Canis lupus familiaris: one gene and its partner. The protein of the gene in region 1 interacts with the protein of each later gene in a pairwise test. Links are inferred from orthologs where the notes say so. Each region holds a gene or a part of one and is shown on either strand. Other genes may lie near its edges.

Region 1 (10,758 bases):
CAGGTCCTGGGATCAAGCCCCACATTGGGCTCCCTGCTCAATAGGAGCCTGTTTCTCCCTCTCCCTTTGCCCCTGATCCTGCTCATGTGTTGTCTCTGTCTCAAATAAATGATAAAATCTTAAAAAAAAAAAAAAAAGACCAGAACTTGAAGAGTTAATGAGGCATACTGTCCCCAGGCTAAGGAAGAGCTTAGGACTCCAGTCACGTCCAGGGCCACAGCACACACTCCAGTAACCAGAGGGTGAGCGCAAACACTTGGGATGGCCCAGTGTGCTCAGTCGGGACCCACACACCAGACCGCTTGTGTGGCAAGAAAGATCACCGAGATGCCTTGTGCTGGTCTTTTGAATCTCTCTGAACAGTACAACAGGTCCATCTGGGAGAGGGAGGGGACGTGGCTGGGGATGGAGGAGCGTGAGTTAAGTTACTTCCCCTCAATTCATGGCATTCAGTTCCCTGGTTACACCAGTTCTTTCAACTCCTTTCATGAACAGCTTTCGGGGCTTCAGTGTTCAGGCTTTTTATAATCACTGCTCCTCCTCTTGCATGAAAAGACGGCTATTCATCCCAGCAGGCAGCAGTGCTGGGTACAAGGCAGGCATTAGTCATCAGGAATTTTTCAAATAAACACTCCTGCTAGGAGTGGGTCTCCAAAACACAGAGTCCATGGTGTTACCCTCCTGTTCCAAGAACTGCGGAGGGCTTCCTAACAAAGCCCAGCCCCTCAGCAGAGCCTCTGGACTGGCCCCAGCTCCTACCTGCAGCCTCACCTCCCACTGTACACTATCTGATGTTCCTGAAACACATTCTGCACTTTGGGCCTCAGTAAATGTTTGGGAGAAGGGTGGGGGAGGTTTGGAGCAAGGCTCTGGCCTGCCCCACCCTGCCACACTGAAACAATGCACCCACCCTGGTTCCAGGGCCCTACTAGGTACTCCATGGGGTTCTGGGAAGGGCGCTGGGGGTGACAGGGCCAATGTCCCCACTGGAACCTCAGTGCTTTCTGCCACACCCCGACCAGAGCTGGCTCTGGACAGATGTCCAGACCAAAGGATCCAGGCCCATAAAGGGGAACCCTGGTTTATTAGTAGAAGGTGGATTTTAATGCATAGGGTCTCTGGGTTAGAATTGTGTGTCCTGAGGTCACCTTTACATGGAGAAAACACGGTTTAGTTCTGTTATGGAGAATCAATCCTGAATTAGGCGCTTTGCAGACACAGAGAAACAGGATAGCATCCCCTTACCCTCCAAGAAAGTCTTGTGCAAATGTTTTGTTTTAGATCCTTTTTTTTTTTTTTTTTTAAGATTTCTACTTTTTTTATTCAGGAGAGAGACACAGAGAGAGAAAGAGGCAGGGACACCGGCAGAGGGAGAAGCAGGCTCCTCGCAAGGAGCTCGATGCAGGACTTGATCCCAGGACTCTGGGATCACGCCCTGAGCGAAGGCAGACAGATGCTCAATTGCTGAGCTACCAGGCGTCCCTTAAATCTATTTCTTCCCCTCCATGTTACATAATAACTAATTTTCCTCCCCTTTGTTTTAGGTCTACATTTCTTTTATCTTATTTCAACAAGCAAACAAGCAATAAGTATTAGGACCAGAGCCCTGGCCTGAACTGAAAAGCTGACCGACCTCCTTCTCCACGGCTCCAAGAACTACCCAGGCAGGGCATCTGGGCCAGAGCTGCTCAGGGCAGCACATGCCCAACCTTTCCACTACAACGGCCTGCCGCCTTTCATGAACATTCTCTAACCAGAAGGTGGCAGTGGACAATTATCTTCCAAGAGCTAAACTAATCAAACCAGGGTGGGCGACTCTGCAAACTTGACCAGCAGCAGCACGCTCATGTTTTAAGGAAAACACCAACAAGAACAGGCCCGCATTGCAGTTGGTGCCGTGAGCTGTCCAGGGGAGACTCCTCCATAGGTCTTGGGCAACCAAAGTCAACAAAGTCAAGCTGTGCATGGTGAGGGACAGCGCCTCACCATGGCTGAGTGAAGTATCACACAAAACTCTTTATTTGCAGGTTAATCAGGGAAATCTTTTTTTTTTTTTTTTTTAAGACTGTATTACTTATTCATGAGAGACACAGAGAGGGGGCAGGGGGCAGGGACACAGGCAGAGGGAGAAGCAGGCTCCATGCAGGGAGCCGGATGTGGGACTCGATCCTGGGTCTCCAGGATCAGGCCCTGGGCTGAAGATGGTGCTAAACTGCTGAGCCACCCAGGCTGCCCCAGGGAAATCTTTTGATAAGATTAATTCAGGACCCTGGTAATAATGGTAATGACCCCTTTCTAGGCTTACAAGGTGTGATGAACACAAAACAGAATGGATGCACTAAAGAACAAGCACATTCCATGACCTGTGGGGAAACACGTTATTTACACTTCCACAGGTTCATTCTTTCCTTTCCTTCTTTTTTTTTTTTTTTTTAAATTCATGAGAGACACAGAGAGAAAGGCAGAGACATAGGTAGAGGGGAGACTAATGTGGGACTTGATCCTGGGACCCTGAGCTGAAGGCAGATGCTCAACCATTGAGCCACCCAGGCGTCCCTACACTTCTACAGGTTCTTGTGCTATTTCCACTAAGAGGAAGAGATAATCACTGGCTCTACTTAAATTATCAAGCACAAAGTTTTTCCTGGGACCTCCATGCAATGCCATCCCACAGTTCCCAGGAAGGAAGAATTCTTCCAGGAAGCATGTAAGACAATATAGTTACTGAAGGAAACGACATTTGTTCACTGCCATTAGCTGAGACCTTTCAGTTTTTGACAGGGATGCCCTAGATGTAGTTCACTGGCTTTGCAAGGTAAAAAAACAAAAACAAAAACAAACAAAAAAAAAGTTTTTAAAAGATTTATTCATTCACGAGAGACACAAAGAGGCAGAGACACAGGAAGAGGGAGAAGCAGGCTCCCCATAGGGATCCTGACTCGGGACTTGATCCCAGGACTCCAGATCATACCCTGAGCCTAAGGCAGATGCTGAGACACTCAGGCGCCCAAAACTGAAGTTTCTACCAGGTTTAATCCAAATACAGCATGTAGGCCAAACTAGCATGTAGACAGCTCTAGTCTCTGCACAATCTCCCAATCCAATCATTGTGTAAGAGCAGAGTAATATTCTCACATATTCTTACACAAAACTGGAAAGTTACTTTATTTAAAAGCCTTCAGTAATGATGATTAGAGCTAACATTAATTGAACACTTAAAACCATCAGATACTTTCAAACTACTTTACATTAGCAATCACCTAATAAATATCTGTATCTTATAAATAAGAGAGATATGGAATGGTTAAGTAACCTAAGATCACGTGGAAAGTGAGAGAAGGGAATCGAAATCTTAGTTTGACTCTAGGGCTTCAACACTAACCTAATGTTCCCCATCAGGGGGAGGGGTTGGGCTTCTCCTCCTTTAAAGGGAAGATCCACAATAATTGCTATCATTTGCTGAACACTTACTACCTGGTGCAAACTTTTTTTTTTTTGGTGCAAACTTTAAAATGTACATTTTTATATTTTCATACCTAATCTTCTCAACAACCTGCCAGAAACCATTACTACAAATGAGGAAACGTCCCAGCTCTGAAGTCATCTTGCCAGGGTGGCACAGAACCCAACAACAGGCCCACCAGGGCACCAGGTCGGCCTGGTGGCTCAGTGCTCGGTCATCCCACGGATCCTCAACCGAATGCCCAACACCAGACTCTGCACACATCGGAGCCAACAAAGTACAGACCCAACAGACAGTACAGACCGTCTGCAGTCAGGAACAGAGGGGGGTGACTGCAGAAAGGGCACGTCCTGGGTAGTTGGTTCATTCAGCAACTGTCCATCAAACTGATGAAACTCAGTCTTAGAAGTGGCCAGAGGACCGAGCACCAATTCCACACCAGTTACCAGCGGGAAGACCTAGGAGAGAGCTACTCAGAGAACAGCTGAGCAAATTAACGGTTCCTGTGTGCCTGTTATGAACCAGAAGCCAGGTGCATAGCTGGCTGGTGAACTACGTACGCGGTGGCGGCAGGTGCAGTGGATGTGTGCAGGGGGCTGGGGGCGGTGGGGATGCACTTGTTAGCCAAGGAGAGGATCTACTTTCTAACCACCGCAGGCGGGAGGTATTAACAAGCATCTGCTCAGTGAATGACTTCCGATCCGAGAAGACCGTGTCTAACATTTTTACAGGCAGTTTACAAGGACATGTGAACTACCGCACGTATGCTGGAGAACTGCTGGCCGCAGTCCCACTTCAAACAGGTGAGAGCTGGAGCTCATTAAAGGCTGGAAATGACGGACCACGTTTAAGGGTCCGGAGCAACTTCCGGGCACCTCATCGCAAATCATCTCCGCACTCGGAGCCACAACAGTCTTCTCCGACAACCATCAAGAAGCTCTAACCTCCGGGCCCACCTGTTTTGTTTTGTTTTTTTTTCTTGCCCAAGCCCGAGGCCAACTCAGCCAGCTCCTAAAAGGCACGCAGCCCCCCAACTTTCAGGGGGACGAACTCTTCGTGGCCTCGGGTTAAGTCCCTCTACGTCTCCCGGCCTCAAGCTCGTCATCTGCAAAACGGGAGAAATACGAATACGGTACGGGGCCGGTACGGCTGCGAAAGGGGGCAAAACGGGACGGTGGTTGCACGAAAGCGCTCGGGGGACGTGAACCGCCGCACGGGCGAGGCGGGGGTTAACGGGGGCGGCGGAGCCGGGGAGCGCGCGCAGGGCCTGCGAGCTGAGGTCTGGGTCGCAGCCTCGCCGGCAGCAGATCGGCGGAGCCTGGGCGGGTCACTTCCCCGCTAAACTTCGGCCGTCCTAACCCCAAGGCGGCGCGGAGACCGAGGAGCAGCGCGGCGCCCAGGGCCAGTCTCCCCCGCGGGCGGACCGGGCGGCCCCGGGAGACCCCGCGAGCCCTCCCCCCTCCCCCCGCCCCGGCCGCCCCGGCCCCCCCGGCCTCCCCGGAGCGACGGCGCTCCCAGCCAGTGTGGACCGCCCGGCGGCCGGGCCCGCGGAGGCGGCGGGGCCGGGCCAATGAGGAGCGCGGCTGCGGCAGGGGGCGGGCGCACACGGCGCTGCGCTTCGCTCCCGGGCCGCTCCCTCCCCCGCCCCGAGCCCCGCTAGGCCACGGGCCCTGAGCACCGGAGGGAGAAAGGGCCGCTCACCGCCCCTTCGTCGCAGCCCCGCGCTTCCGGATGAGCTCGTCCAGGGAGATGTCCGCCATCTTGCGCCGCCGAGCGAACCGCGAGCAGCTGAGACTCCCCCAGCCCTGGAGCCCGCCCCTTCGGCCGCTACGGAGCAACGAGCCGCTTCCGGCGTCCGGCCGACGAACTCTCGCGACAGCTCAAACCAAGACAAGAACCGGAAGGGGCGGGGAGCTCCCCGTGAGCCTTTGCGACGCCAGCTGCTTATCTGCATACGGGGGGGCTCCGAGTACCTACGGTTCCCGGTTCTCCCCAGCGAAGAAATAAAATGGAGAGTGATATAAAAAATTAAATAAGTGAATGAGACGAACTGCGAAGGGCCTGGGCTCTTGGTTTAACGGTCGCTCTGCTACTCACCGTAGGGCTAATGAGAAGGGGATTCATTACCCAGCGAGTAACACGTGTAGCTCTTTATGCCTTAAACTTATGAGTAAGGAAAATAACGATTCGGGGTGACGCCCGAATCCTCACTGCTAATGTGAGACGAATTTTTGAGCGGGTAAAGGTCGCCCCTGAGGTGACCCGCCTACTTTGCGGGATGCCTGGGAGCCGCGATCTGCCCGGCCCCCCCCTACCCTGAAAGAGCAGACGAGCGGCCCGGTCGGCGGGCGGGCGGGCGGGCGGGCGGAGAGGCCTCCAAGTCTTCCTAGCGGGCCGGCGCCCCTGCCTCGCCGGGTCCTCCGCGGGCTCTGGGCTTGGGGGGTTTGTTTTGTTTTTGTATCTTTTTTGTTGTTTTTGAGAGATTTTGTTTATTCCCGAGAGAGGCAGGCACCCATGGGAGCCCTACGCGGGACTGGGTCCCAGGACCCCGGGGATCAGGACCTGAGCCTAGCGAGACGCTCAGCCACGGGCCCCCCCAGGCGTCCCATTTCCGGACGTTTTGCAATTTATGGTGCATGAAAATAAAAGTCGCTTTTCACGTCTGGCCCCGTGAGCCTTAGGCCGATGACCTCGCCCAGTTCTCTGAAACTTTCCCCCGTCATTACAAGGGTTAAGGCCAGCCGCTGCCCGGTGACAACCGCAGCTGCCGGGGTGGCTGCTCACTGGCCGGAGCTGCAGGACCGCCTGGGTCCCGTCCCACCAGCCGCGCTTCCCGGCGGCTTGACTCTCCCCCCGCAAGTCGCTCCGATCTTCCCGATGATCTAGAAAACCGGGCGAATGACCGGTCGTTGGGAGGAGGAAATAGACGTTACAATCCATGGGTGGAATTGCCTGGTCTGTGATGGCAGCCCCAGGCCCCAGCACTGTAAGCTTGGCGCGAGGTACAGGTTTGCTGCATCAATCGATTAAAAAAAAAAAAAAAAAGCACGTAGGGCGCTGTGCTCTGTGAGTTATTACTATTATTAATTTCTAAGTGCATTGATGCCCGCGGAGTTCATGTACTGTTGACAGGCCGCACCGTAGTTAAAAGTCTGGCAGCAGAAGGTGTGCGGGCCAGAGCTGGCAAAGCCAGCGGGGCTGGGCCGGGTCCCACCTCCTCAGCCGTCAGACCTGACCCCGCCAGCCCCTCCCTGCCTCCCTCTCTCCTTCCGTCCCGGAAGTGCAGCGGGGGGGGGGGGGGGGGGGACGACGACGACACAGGGACCAGGTTGGGCCTCAGCACCCTCCCCTCCCCTGGACCGCGCAGGGCAGGTGCAGAAGAACGTGGAAGGGGCCATGGGACCCCAGGGGTTAAAGCCCTGTCACGCCTTAAATGCAATGTAAAAAAAAAAGTGACCTAAAGGTTATTTTTCAAGCTAGTTCAGTGAGGTTATTAGCTGAGGTCAGCTATCATCGAGGTGACCTTCCCTTGGAGGCATTTCATAAGGTGTAGAGCTTTGTAGGGTGCTGATTGTCTGGAGGACGGGGATCTGGAATCCGGTCACGCGGAGGGTGGGGACAGGGATGTGGCGATCCTGAGGCAAGGGCCCTCCCCATGCCTGCGACGTTCCCATGTTCCGGGAGGGACGAAGAGCATCACACTCCCAGGCAGGGCTTCCCTCCATATCTTGTATGGACACGTAGGACTTTTTGCTCAAGGCGAGCAAACGTGGAATTGCTGGGAACGTACTGGGTCCTGCTTTGTTTGGAAATAGACCAAGGATTGTGCCCTGCCTGGGAAAACCGCGTCCCTGTGGGCAGAGACTGGGAGTCGGGCTGCATCTGGGGCTGTGACTGTCCAGGGACCCCTGCCCACCCCCCTTCTGGGGACTTCGGCCACCCTGAAATGTGGTGGTATCCTTTTATAAATTCCTTTCCTTTCTTGCTCTAATATGATTGGAGTTTTATGTTTTTTGTTTGAAGATTTATTTTATATATATATAGAGAGAGAGCACGAGAGTTGGGGGGGGGGCAGAGGGAGGAGACAGAAACACAAGCAGACTGCGCTGAGATGGAGCCAGACACGGGACTCGATCTCATGACCCTGAGATCAGACCTGAGCTGAATCGGGACTTAACTGGCTGAGCCACCCAGGTTCAGGTGCCCCAATTTTTAAAAATTCTATATGCAAGCTCATAATATTACCTGTGAATCCACTTCAAGAGGCTCAAGAGGGTGTTATAAATATTATTTTAAAAGGGTGTCAGGTCTGAGAGGGTGGCAAGTCATGACCTAGTTCACTCACCTGTTATACAGATGGAGAAACTGAGGCGAGGAGAGGGGGGGGGCCCAGGTCCAATCCATGCCCTTCTCAGCTCCCGGGGACAGCCCCTTGTGAGCTCAGGCAGGTGCACCTTCAAAGCCCGACACTCAGGCCTGCTTTCCCATCCTCCAGAAGGGGGTCACGATGAGGAGACGGGACCTGAGCGCAGTGTCTGCAGGGTCCCCAGCACACAGTAGGTGTTCAGAAGGGATTCCCAGGCCAAGCCCTTCCCTGCCCACTGAGGAGTCCCAGCCCTACTCCTGATGTGGGCCAGGGCCAGAAGAGACGGGAAGAGAGGAAAGAGGAGAAAGGGGCTCCCTGGCCTGAGGCTGGGCTTCCAGCATTCCTCCCTGCACACCCCCCCATCCTCTCCTCTTCCCTACTCCGCTCCAGTCACACTGGCCTTCACGATGTTCCTACCAGGTCTCTGCCCCAGGGCCTTTGCACTTGCTGGTCACTCTAGAGCACGTCTACTGTGCTTCCTTTCCAGGCTCATTTCCGCTGTCCCCTCAGTCACCTGCTTTCTTCCATCTGTTTCTCAAAGTTAATTCCCCAAGCTTGTTCCCAAGGCATCTGTACGTGCTGTTCCATCACCTTGAACACCTACCCCAGCAGGGCCAGCTTCGTTGTCTCTTCAGAGAGAACAGCACTCACTCCCACGTTGCCTCGTGGCCTGACTTGTCTTGGCATTTGCTGTTTCACTCATGACACCGTCTGGCACTTGTCTTTCTCACCAGCACCCCAGGAATAGGGGAGGGCGTGTGGGGGCGGCTGCAGCCAAGTCTCCGGCACTTGGAACAGTGCATGAAGGCACGAGGGAGCTAGGGCCCCCTGTGCCGCCTTCCACGGGGAGAGCGGTGCCTGCCTCACCTCATGGCCCAGCTTCCTACCTGAAGGCTAGTCATGGCTGAGCCTCAGGCTCTCCAGCAGAAACCAAGGCCAGTGATTTCTCCCTGGTTTTCAGAGGGGAAAACAGAAAGGAAAACAATGAGGACATACAGAGCTGGACAACACAGGAGCGGAGAGAGCTTTTCACGCGGTGTGAATAAGGCTGGGCGTCAGGGGGCTGGCACCAGGGGAGGACTCCAGGCTGGACTCCCAGAGTCCATACACCCTGGCTCAACTTTCTGTCTCCAGGACTCTAACCTCAAAAAAATCATCGGAGGGGCACCTGGCTGGCTTCAGTTCAGTAGAGCATGTGACTCTTGAAGGTTGTGAATTCAAGCCCAGTGTTGGTGGGGAGCCTACTTAAAAAAAAAAAAGAAATCATCTGAAAGGAGGATGAAGGCCACCACTGTTTACAAAGTCCACAAACTGGAAGCAGCCTAACTGTCCAAGGGTAGGGGATTTGCTATACAATCAATTATGATCCTTGTGGGCTTCTAGAGAATGTGTGACCCCAGGGGAAAGCCCATCTGATGGAGGAAAAGCAGCAGCCCCATGGTGGGCCATGTGGTTTCAACAGAGGCATTTGCCTGTGGATGTACAGTATTTTTTTTCCCCTGTGCATACTTTTCTGTACAGTCCAAAGCTTACACGATGAACACACGAAAAGTGAGTGCTGGGGCCCTTCCTGTCTCTTCTCCCACAATGCCCCAAGTCACAGAGCCTCAAGGAACTGCAAAAGGGTTAGTATTAGCAAAGTTTTATTTCAATGTTTTTTTTTCTGCTCATAAATGATTCTGAAAAAGCCCATATGCAAGAGGCGAACCCACCCTTCTAAAGGCAACATCGAGGTCACTGAGAATGCTGCTCAGACAAAAACTTCCCCTGTGCTGGGGTGCGGGCAGCATGACGGGTGGGTTTGGGACAGAGGAATAAATAAACATCGTCTCAGCTCTGCCATAAGCACTGGCAGCCCAGGGCCCCGAGGCGGTCCATCAGACTGCCGGGCTGACGGCGTGGAACTCCCAAAGCCGCCCAGATGCTTAGATGTGCTGGGGAGATGCTGAGGCTTCAGGAGGGCTGAGGTGCCCCCTGAAGAGCCTTCAGCCAGCCCCCTCCTCCTACTCCAGGCTGGGAGAGAGCCCAGCTCTCTGCTGACTGGGCCTGCCTGGGTCCTGGGGTGGGGGCAGACTCTCACCCCCACAGCCCCAGCCAAAGGGACTTTTTGGTGTTACCTGTCATGTAGTGTCAGGTGCTAAGGCCTGGCTGTGGCCCTGAGCAGGTAGTGAGGGGTGGCAGGTGAGGGTCCCAAGGCAGTGGCTGGGGGGGACCCTGCCACCTGCAGCTCTGGGCTGCCTGTACATTTGTGTTTATTTCCAGAGGGTAGTCTGCTTTGGGAGGCGGGGTGGGGTGGAGCATGGTGCTTGCAGACTTGGCCTAGTAGTGTATGGGTGGGTGGGGTGGAGGTAGGGAAGGGTCAGGGCCAGGGCCGAGCATCACTGGTAAGAACCGATGAGGGCCAGACAGGTACCGGCCCAGAAGGTGGCTGGCGATGGCCCACCTGTAACAGAACCCTGCTCCCAAAGGGATCCCTCGGGGGCCAGCCCAGCGGGGTAACCAGCCAAGCAACAGGCAGGCCAGGCTGAACCCAGGACCACAGTGGGAGATGTGGGGGAAAGTGATGTTAAAGAGCAGTGGTAGGGAGGAGTGGGTGCGGACAGGGCACAGTGAGTATGCGGGGCAGGCGTGCGAGCAGCCAGCGCCTGGCCATCAGAAGGCGAAGCAGCGCTCCTTGGGGTGGCCCACGCGGTCCAGGTTGGGCAGGCAGGCATACTGGATCATGGGCGGGGGTCCACACATCAGTATCAGTGGCTCCTCCTCTGGAGGTGGAAGGTGGTCCCGGATCATCTCTTCATTTACGAAGCCCTGGCTGTAGTCCCAGGCTGCGGGGAAAGACCAGGTGAGTCCAAGTACAGCTGTGTGACTGACCAATGACTGCCCACCTGCCCAAAGCCCCTCCCCCTGATCGCCACACTCCTGTACTGTG
Region 2 (10,822 bases), on another chromosome or scaffold:
AGAGAGAGAGAGAGAGAGAGAGAGAGGCAGGCAGAGACACAGGCAGAGGGAGAAGCAGGCTCCATGCACCGGGAGCCCGACATGGGATTCGATCCCGGGTCTCCAGGATCGCGCCCTGGGCCAAAAGCAGGCGCTAAACCGCTGTGCCACCCAGGGATCCCAGAGTTCATCAAAATTTAAACCTTTGGTGCTTCAAGGACACTATCGAGAAAGTGAAAAGACAAGACACAGACTAGGAGGAAATCTCTGCAAAACATATTATCTGATAAAGAATTAGTATCCAAAACATACAAAGAACTTATAAAACTCAACAATAAAAAAAATAAACACCTCATCTAAAAAGTGGGTTAGGGTTCTGGACACCTTACCAAAGAAAATATACAAATGGCAAATAACTATTATAAAAAGATACACAACATATCATTAGAAAACTACAAATTAAAATGAGTTATCACTATATACCTATCAGAATCACAGAAATCCAGAACACTGACAGCACCAAATGTGGAGAAGAATGTGGAGCAATAGGAATTCTCATTCATTGCTGGTGAGAACACAGAATGGCACAGCCACATCTGAAGACAGTGTGTCAGCTTTTTACAAAGCTAAACACAATCTTACCATATGATGCAATGATCACATTCCTCAGCATTTACCTAAAGGGGTTGAAAACTTAGGCGCACATGAATGTTTGTAGCAGTTTTATTGTAACTGCCAATACGAGAAAGCAATTATGATGTCCTTTGGTGGGTAAATGGATAACCAAACTGTGGTATATCCAAATGATGGATTACTCAGAAATAAAAAGAAATGAGCTAGCTACCAGGCCATGAAGATATGGAAGAACCTTAAAAGGACACTCTTTTGGGACATCTGCATGGTTCAATTGGTTAAGCATATGACTTCAGCTCAAATCTCCATCTTAGGACTCTGAGATCCCCACTCAGTGGGGAATCTGCTGCTCTCTCTCTCTCTCTCTGCCCCTCCCCCTGCTTGTGCCCCTTCTAATACATAAATTAAGATCTTAAAAAACAAAAACAAAAAACCACTGTTTTGTGAAAGAGCCAACCTGAAAAAGCTATATACTACATAATTTCAACTACAGGACATTTTGGAAAAGGTTGACACTATGGAGGCATTTAAAAGACCAGTGGTTGCCAGAGATTTGGGGGGAGGAACAGGTAAAGCACCAGAGATTTTTCAGGGCAGTAAATGGTAGATACTTGTCAGTATTATAAATAAATCAAAACCCGTAAGATGTCCAAAACAAAGACTGAACACTAAAATAAACTATGGCCTTTAATCAATAATGTATCAGTATTGGCTCTATAGTTGTAACTAATGTATCACACTAATATAGAATATAAGTAAGAGAAACTGAAAAGAGGGAGTAGGGAAGAAGGGGTGTGATGGAATTCTCTGTACTTTGAACCAATTTTCCTGTAAGCCTACAACTATCCTAAAAAACTTAATTTAAAAAGACATGGAAGAACCTTAAATGCATATTGCTAAATGAAACAAGACCGTCCAACTCTGACATTCTGAAAAAGGCAAACCTATGGAGGTGGCAAGGAGACCAACAGTTGCCAGGACAGCAGAAGGTGAAGTAGGGATGAATGAACAAGTGCAGCACAGGGATTTTTAGGTAAGTGAAAATTATTCTGTATGATACTGTAACGATGAATATATGTTATGCATCTAGTAAAATCCACAGAACTGTACAACATGAAGGGCCCAATATAAGCTTTAGTTAATAACAGATTTTAGTTAACAGTAGACTTTAGTTAGTAATAATAATGTAGCAATATTGGGTTTACCAGGGCACCTGGGTGGCTCAGTTGGTTAAGCATCTGCCTTCGGCGGCTCAGGTCATGATCTTAGGGTACTGGGATCAAGCCCAAGCTGGGTTCCCTGCTTAGCAGGGTGTCTGCTTCTCCCTCTGCCCCTCTCCCCCTCTCCCCGCTTGTTTGCATGGGCACTCTCTCTCTCACAAATAAATAATCCTTAAAAAAAAAAAAATACTGGTTTCATCAACTGCAACAAACGTACCACATCAACGTTAAGTGTTATTATTATTTTTGTTAAGGTGTTATTAATGGGAGACACTGTGGAGGTGAGGAAAGGGAGTACGTTAGGAACCCTGTATTTTCTGTTCAGTTTTTCTGTAAACCTTGAGCTGCTCTAGAAATAAAGTGTATTAATGAAAAAGAGAAAGTTAGGATTCATTAAAATAGCAAAGGTTGGCAGAGTATTGTGAAATTAAAGACCAAACATAATACAGGTAAGACAATAATGTGCTAAGGCAGAACGTGCACAGAGTCTACCTGAATGGTCAGCAAAGGAAAGGTCCTAAAATGAGGGAAGGACAAGAGCTGCTCTTCTTTGAAAATTAAGAGAATCTACAATCAGGAAGGCATGGTACCAATTACCTAGAAGCTGTCTCTAATTATTACCAGTAGTTTTTTCCCCCCACAGATCTACCCATTGTTGGCTTTATAAGGACAGATTTTAAGGCTAACCCAGTTAGCTCTGGATAATCAACAAATTCAAGGACATGCCCAATTGCAAAAACAGTGACTATAAAATCTTTATAGAAAGAAGTGAAGAACCGGAATCCCTGGGTGGCGCAGCGGTTTAGCCCTGCCTTTGGCCCAGGGCGAGATCCTGGAGACCCGGGATCGAATCCCACGTCAGGCTCCTGGCGCATGGAGCCTACTTCTCCCTCTGCCTATGTCTCTGCCTCTCTCTCTCTCTCTCTCTATCATAAATAAATAATTAAAAAAAAAAAAAAAAAAAAAGAAAGAAGAACGGACAATTTGCTAAAAAGGGTGCAGAATGTGCACAACTGGTTTACTCGATATAATGATTAAATGTAAGGATGAATCCAATTTGTGATGATCCAATCTATGCGCTCTCATCTAATGGTTTACTGAGTAAAGCAGCATTAAGGGCTAATAGTTCCCTTCAGGGTGGTGTCAGCTTATCAAGTACACAATAAATGATACTTATTTGGTTCCATTTGCCTTTATTCTCTGAGCTAATTTTTATCTTCTAACGCTGATGGAGTATACTCAAACCTCAAAAGCTTTTAATGCTTATTTGTTCAATCAGCAGACTAATAGGTTCTGAAGGTATCCCTAGAGCCTGTCTTAACAACTCTATAGTGTTTGAGTCTAACCAGAATACACAAGAACTGTAAGATATTTACATAATGAATAACGGAATATCCACAGAGGGAGGCTTCAGAAGGCCATTCACTGTAATCACGGGAGCTGGATTTAAAAAAAAATACTTGCAGCAGAAGGACAATACCTATAATCAATGTTTCAATTTTCAACAAATACGGTCCCTAGTATCTTCTTCCTTCCTGGCTCAAATTAATAACTTGAGAAATCTGGAGGAAAAACAAGCCTAGTTCCTAAATGAGACATATTCTAATAGTGAAGATCAAGAAAACAAAAATAAAAACTCTTCATTAGTGCTTAAACTCACCTTCCATGCATTCATTCACAGATTCATAGTCAGCGTAAGTTCTGCCTTCTGGCCTCTTGGTAGGCTGTACCAGCAAAATGGTGTGAGACTGCAGGGAGAAAAGGGATTTCAATTTAAGTTTCTAACTCATATTTGAGAAATTCATAGTATGATATAAAATCTCTAGTCATGACACAAATGATCATTGGTTATTAATGCACTATTAATCAGGGTGCTCTTCTTACATTTATGCTTTTGTTCAAGTGTGGTGTCAGATGATGGCTGAACAACTCTGTAAGGTCTCTTCGGACTCCCTGTCCTTAAGGGCTGCTTTCTGCAACTGTTGTACTTACTGCCTCTAAGCATTCAGCATGAGTTACCTTCTACTGTTTTTTCTTCCTTTCTTCCCAACTAGATTATAAACCCACTTAGATTTTCTATCTCCACTGGTCACTTTCTATCTCCAGCCCTATTAAGTGCCTTAAAAAAAAAAAAATTTATTCGTTCATGAGACATACAGAGAGAAAGAGACATAGGCAGAGGGAGAAGCAGGCTCCCTGTGGGGAGCCCGATGTGGGACTTTGACAACCTGAGTCAAAGGCAGCCATTCAACTACTGAGCCACCCAGGTGCCCCTATTAAGTGCTTTAATAAAAATTTAGAAGTAGGCTGAGAAAAAGAGAAATACTATTTATGACTGTAAGTAGTGGATCTATGTTCTTTTTCTATCCTTAGCACAATAACGGAGTCACAGTAGTCGTATCAGTCACTACTATTTAATTTTGTTCTCATTCTGATGAAAATTAAGGGACTAATTTACTTCAAAAAAGTAATGATATGCAAACGGCTATTCAATACGCTACTTTTTACATCTAGTCTTAAAGTGAACTTCTGAGAAAGCTCACTATTTTCAATACTTAGTACTCAAAGACAACGATTAAAAACGAAGAAAAAAAATGACTAAATTTACAAAACTGTAGCTGAAATGGGTATTATTTTTAAGTGGCAGTATTTTGCTTTTAACATTTTAAGACCAGAAAGCTTCCCAAACCAGTTTTGGTCACTTTCTTTTTACTGGAGCTATTTCCAAAGCCGTTTGGTTTTATTAAAAAAAACAAATATGTATGCAAAATACAAGTACACGTAAACAAATACATATATACTTCTCACAACAGAAAAATAAGGTTGCAAAACCTAAGTCAGGAAAAGGTACACAGATATACTTTAATAAAATCCTTATTCTGATTACCAAGCAGATGTAAACCACTTTAATGAATAGTTAATCTGGTCCTACTCTTAAAATTCTTACACATGAACTGAGTCATCCTTCTACTGCTACAGAAATATTACAATACACAGGACTAGGTCATTAGCTTCAGGTGCTTCTGCCAAACTACCAAAAAACCCCACAAAAAATCCCCACCCCTTGAAGCTTGTCTTTAATAAAGCAGAAGTACATACGACGACTGAACCAATAATTGTTTGCTTTATCTACAAATTCGTAGCTCTTAAAGCCACTTGGACTGAGAAGGTATTATCACTGCTATTTGCTCACCCAGAAAGGCTCCGTTGGTATTAACTGCTGTCCCTTCCTCAGATTTGAATCTTACCATTATAACACGTTACCAAAGAGTGACATAAAGGGCAGAGAAAGAAGGGAAACTCAGAGATACAGAGTCTTCCAAAAGTCACACTGCCAATTATGACGAAACAAGAAAGAACTGGAGACCCAGCCTTCCGATTGCTCAGTCGCCTCTGGGAGACCACGTTGGGTCAAACACTTAAAAACACCTCAATTCAGAAAGGTGCAACCTCAGAGAGTTCCTTGTTAACAACAGCTGCGTAACCTGTTAACGTTTAACCCCAGCGATCAGAAAACCGAGGTTGAAGTGCGGAAGAACCACGATTCCTCATAATCCCTGTGGATCACCTTCTTTTTGGCGGAATTAAAAAAAATAATAGTAAATAAAAATGAAATAAAAAAAAAAAAACAAAAACACGAACAAAATACCCACTCACTGCACTACCACCCCGATCCGATTCTAAGGAACCTGGACCCTCAGCTGAGCCCATCTTCTTTTCAGCTTTGAGTCCCAGAGAGAATGAGTAAGAACAGGATTGAGGGCCGGGAGAAACGCCAGATCAGGCCTCTGGGGTCTCGGAAAAGAGGGGAAAGAAACGTTGTATGTCTGTTTGAGGACGGAGCCCAGCAAAACAAAAGGGGATGCCTGAGAAAGCACGCTACAAAGCAAAGACGACCCCTCCCGGCCCACACGCTGGGCGCAGCACACCCCATCTGTCAGCTTCAGGCGCAGGTTTGTCAGACATCCCTCGGCCATTGTTCCCACATCGGGCCAGACTCTGGGGGAAAAGCGCAGCATCCCCACGCAGCTCGCGGGAGGAAGCGCATCCTCCGCACCGCACGCCTCGCCGGACCTCGGCCGCGGGCGCGCAAACGCAGGGCGGACCTGGGCGGACCCGGGCGGACCCGGGCGGACCCGGGCTCCGGGGCCTAGCGCCAGGCCCAGCGGCCCCGCGGCCCCGCGGCGGGAAGGGGAGAGGTCGCGCCACAAGCTGGCGGGCCGGGGAGCTGCACTCTCGCGCTGGATGGGCTGGGGACAAGATGTACACGGCTGGGATCGCCTCAGAGGCCGGGGGATCGGGGAGCCGCCGAGGCCTTTCTCACCATCGCGCCAAACTCTCTCGCCGCAGCCGCTGCCGACACCGCCGCCGCACACGAGCTTAGCCGCAACGCCGCCAACAGCCAATCCCCGCGAGAGGAGCCGCCGGAAGTCGTCAGAAACGCACCGCGAAAGAGCCTTTTGGACCATAGAAGCGAACACATTTCCGGCAGCTAGAGCGGATACCGACTCTGGCTCAGCCATCTTGGATAAGGGCGAGGAGCTAGATACAGGTAATTGCTCCAGAACTGGAAAAATAATCGTTTCTTCTCAAAAAAAAAAATCGTTTCTTCTCGAGACACGGTCTTCCATATTCTCGCCATTAGACGCACGACTAGAGTGAACACAGATATATATGGACTCTGACACCAGACCTCTTTAATTAGCCCTACTCAAAAATGGCGGTAGCCTAAGAATCCCGGGCCATAGGTCGGTTGTAACCCGGAAGTACTCTTCTAAAGGAGGGGGCGGTGAAGCAATCCGGAAGTGGATGTAATGAAGAGGTGCCACTTGGCGGCCATGGCAGCTGTAGTATCGGTGGCTCCGGGTCGAGGCCCAGCGGAGTGGAGTAATATGGGCAGCACCGGGTATAGGGCAGAGACAGCTTTGTATCAGCTTCCCTGCTGAACCCCTAAGCCCATCGTTAGAGACCTGCGGGACTCTTTGCCCGTTCTAGACTCGGAGGAGAGTTTGCCGGGACTGGTGGGCTGGTCCCAGCCTGGGGGAAGACTGCCCCGGGGACGTAGGGGCGCCGGGAGAACGAACAAGTCTGCTCGAGTTTTCCTTTTTCTTGCTGCCATCTGGGACGTTGTCCGTGGAGGAAGTGGGCCCATTGTGCCACCCCTCCGACGATTGAAGAAATCGCTCTTTTGCATACCTTTAACCGTAAACCCCAGGGAATCCAGTGACTGGCATCTGAAAACGCAGGGGCCGGGACCTGAGATTGATGAAAGTTCTCTCTGGTGCTAATATCAGCAAAAAGGGGCTAGTTCCAGGCGCGTTCCAGAGAAAGGGGTTTCTGAACACATCTAGTGGGGAGGACGGACGACCTGGAAAGTCCCCTTGTTCTGTTGGAATCACTATACGCGTTTAAGAACCTAAGGACCCTTTGAGGCCCCTGAAAATTTGCAGTTCTGGTGGCGGTGGGCAAATAAAGGAGGACAGAATGGATGATTTCATCTCCATTAGTCTGCTCTCTCTGGCTATGTTGGTGGGATGTTACGTGGCTGGAATCGTTCCCTTGGCTGTTAATTTCTCTGAGGTAAGAAATTCTCAATTTTCTGTCAGCTTTCAGGATGGCTGGTAGGAAGTAGGGAAAGTTGTAAAGAAAGGGAAGCTGCTTCCCCAACGTATCTCAGAGCTAAAGGTCTTACTAAGAAAGACTGTCTTCTAACAAGATACATAGAGGGGATCCCCGGGTGGCTCAGCGGTTTAGCACCTGCCTTTGGCCCAGGGCAGGATCCTGGGGCCCCGGGATCGAGTCCTGCATGGGGCGCCTTGCATGGAGCCTGCTTCTCCCTCTGCCTGTGTCTCTGCCTCTCTCTCTCTGTGTGTCTCTCATGAATAAATAAATAAAATCTTTAAAAAAATAAAAAAGATACATAGAATTTCATAATAGAAAGGAACCTTATTTTAAGCATCGGAGTCCTTAACGTGGGGTGGGCAGACCCCCTGGAGATCCTGGGGTACTCTGAATCTTGTGAAATTGCATACAAAAATTTAGGGCTCTGTGTATTTTCCTGGAAAGAAGCACCATAACGTTCTTTTGATTCCCAGGGATTCCAAGGAATCAAGGTTCCAGTTGCTCTCAAGAAATGTAAATGGAGACTATTATTTGTCCATATACGTAGAAATCAGTATTACTCCTCATTTGGAGAAAATAAAGCATAGTTTTTGTGGGGGGGAAGGTAGTCTTTTGGATTAGAATCCAAAAGTTTTCCGGCGTTTTGAATTTTTTTGTGTTAGAATGAAGATGAGAAAAATAGATTTTTAAAAAGATTTTATTTATATATTCATGAGAGAGACACAGAGAGAGGCGAAGACACAGGCAGAGGGAGAAGCAGGCTCCCTGTGGGGAGCCCCCTGCAAGACTTGATCACAGGACCCTGTGATCAGGACCTGAGCCAAAGGCAGACAGACGCTCAACCACTGAACCACCCAGGCATCCCTAAATCAGATTGTTCTTAACTCACATTTCCTTTTATTTATTTATTTAATTTTTTTTTTAAAGATTTATTTATTTGTTCATGAGAACACACAAAGAGAGAGAGGCGGAGACACAGGCGGAGGTAGAAGCAGGCTCCACGTAGGGAGCAGGACGTGGGACTTAATCCTGGGACTTCAGGATCATGCCCTGGGCCAAAGGCAGGCGCCAAACCGCTGAGCCACCCAGGGATCCCTCACATTTCCTTTTAAAGAAAGAGGGCACTAGAATGGATATTTGAAGTTGTTTCAGATCTGCTTAGAAATGAATTTTCTGTTAATATGTTTTAACATTTGGGTTAATTTGTTAATTTGTCATTACTCGACCAGCCATTAGTGAGGAAGAAAGATGAAACCATTGTTCAGTGAAAATGCAGATAAGTTCTTCATAAAGAGTTCACAACATGCACAGTGCTCAAAAGATTTAGTGAGGAAAAACTACTACATTCGGAGGGAACAGTATTTCATGAGTATCTTGGGGTTCAGCAGTAAAATAGGCCCAGTTTCACTGCCAGTCCTGAAAGAACTTCGTGAAAGAGCAAGCTGGTAGTCATACCAAAGCTACCCCACAGACTTTTACTTTGTTAGAGTAGCAGAGTATTTATTTTCATTATTATTGATTTGTGTCTATTCCCTCAAGGCAGCAGTTGGCTAGAGCTGAGTATCAGGAGATGGTCACAGCACTCCTTGGCCTTGAAGCCTACTTCACTCATTTGGGCCGCCTGTCCGGGGCTTTGTGAGCCTGCTTTATTCTGACGTGAACCATATTTTCGAATAGCTGCATTAGAATTTAATTGACCTTATTAGCACTGACATTTGTGAGATTTAAGTTGGTTTATATATTTAAAAACTGAGGTAACATTTATCAAAAATTATAGTTAATTCAAATAAATCAGTAAAACTTTTTATTTCTATAAAATGGTTAGAGCTTTTCCAATATCAGTATTTTCTTGAACTGTCTTGATTGATTTTTGTGATATGCAGGTATCTGCTATTTTCTTTTTCACTGAAACGAAATGTGTCCATGTGTGGTGTAACTAACCAAGGCATTAATAATCAGTATGATGTGTCATTTATGGCTATCTGAATTGATGGCCAAGTGGTCTTTTCCAACTGTAGGTCTTTTTTTTTTTTTTTTTTTTTTTTTTTTAAAGATTTTATTTATTTATTCATGATAGTCACAGAGAGAGAGAGAGAGAGAGGCAGAGACACAGGCAGAGGGAGAAGCAGGCTCCATGCACCGGGAGCCCGACGTGGGATCCGATCCCGGGTCTCCAGGATCGCGCCCTGGGCCAAAGGCAGGCGCCAAACCGCTGCGCCACCCAGGGATCCCCCAACTGTAGGTCTTAAAATGCTATAAATCATATTCATAATGTCTGTTTATTATTGCAATAGGAACAGTGCATCGAGCTGTTAGAATAAAAATGAAAGTTACATATAACTTAGACATTTTAGAATTCAACTGTTTTCAGTCTTCTAGAAATTAAACATTTTTTTCTAGACAGATTATACTATTGTAGATTGATGTATCATGAAACTAGTGAGATGATAAATTTGTAAAAAATAAATTTCATTCACGGGGGCAGGGAAGCACAGTTTCTACTCTTAGAAAATAGCTCCCTAGGTTCCTACATTGGCTAAACTACTTTTTAAGGGAATCTGGCTTTTCTTAGGGACTAGGGTTATTATAAATAAAGAGACCAATAAATCTAATTTGTTTTACAGTTCATTTTCATGTAAATGAAAAGATATGCTATTTATTCATGTTCTTAATTTATCTGCTATTCTGTCATTCAGTACTATTTTTTTCCTCAGAATTTCTCAGATCTGGAATAAAAGTTCAAAAAACCATTAATTATGGCAGGATTATTATTTAGAAATGAGCTAAAATTAAGTAACCTGGAAATTGCTGTAGCAGTAGTGCCTACCTGCTGTATCTGACCATCTAAAAGAGGTTTATGTGACATTGATCTCTGTCACTTTTTTCAACATTCCTTGCCCCCAAACTAACTTTCTTGATGCTTTTCTAACTTCTTGCTTTCTGACATAGCGACTTTACCTTTATGCCTAAATGATTTCTAAAACAAAGGAAAAGATATCTGATTCTTGAAAGCACTTAATGAGTAAGTGATTTTCAGGATGCTCTCTTCTTCAAGCATATGGTAAGGAGAAAAAGTAAACTTATGAAGGAGGCCAAAGCATACCTTACATAAAGGAAGTCCCGTGTGGTGAAGGAGTTGGAACCTCTAGGTTGAGCACTATCTTATAATGTTAGATTCAGTTGTTAACGAGCTCCCTTTGGCTCTAAAGGAAAAAGCTGTGTAAGTAGGTTGGGAGCCTACAATTAACATTACCTAGAATTAACCCCGCTTAGCAGGTGCTCTGATTGATGAATGAAGTTAAACTATAAACCATGACCAAAATGGGATTTTAGATTGATTATCTGAGGATTGTTACTTATCTGAGTAT

Evidence for each region.
Region 2: the proteins of POLDIP3 (region 1) and ERH interact in a two-hybrid assay, tested with the Homo sapiens proteins (2 studies listed by BioGRID, with this or other methods). The link is inferred for Canis lupus familiaris from reciprocal best matches to the Homo sapiens genes POLDIP3 and ERH.

What each region holds. Positions count from the first base shown.
Region 1 is NC_049231.1:23,804,815-23,815,572, reverse strand, and holds the start of POLDIP3 (polymerase delta-interacting protein 3), read right to left. Parts: upstream 5,331-10,758; 5' UTR 5,224-5,330; coding exon 5,165-5,223; intron 1-5,164. Other genes in the region: CYB5R3 (NADH-cytochrome b5 reductase 3), read right to left, coding at 10,482-10,654. UniProt on the Homo sapiens protein: Is involved in regulation of translation. Is preferentially associated with CBC-bound spliced mRNA-protein complexes during the pioneer round of mRNA translation. Contributes to enhanced translational efficiency of spliced over nonspliced mRNAs.
Region 2 is NC_049229.1:43,497,308-43,508,129, forward strand, and holds the start of ERH (enhancer of rudimentary homolog), read right to left. Parts: upstream 6,331-10,822; 5' UTR 6,316-6,330; coding exon 6,157-6,315; intron 3,581-6,156; coding exon 3,493-3,580; intron 1-3,492. Other genes in the region: SLC39A9 (zinc transporter ZIP9), read left to right, coding at 7,317-7,412. UniProt on the Homo sapiens protein: May have a role in the cell cycle.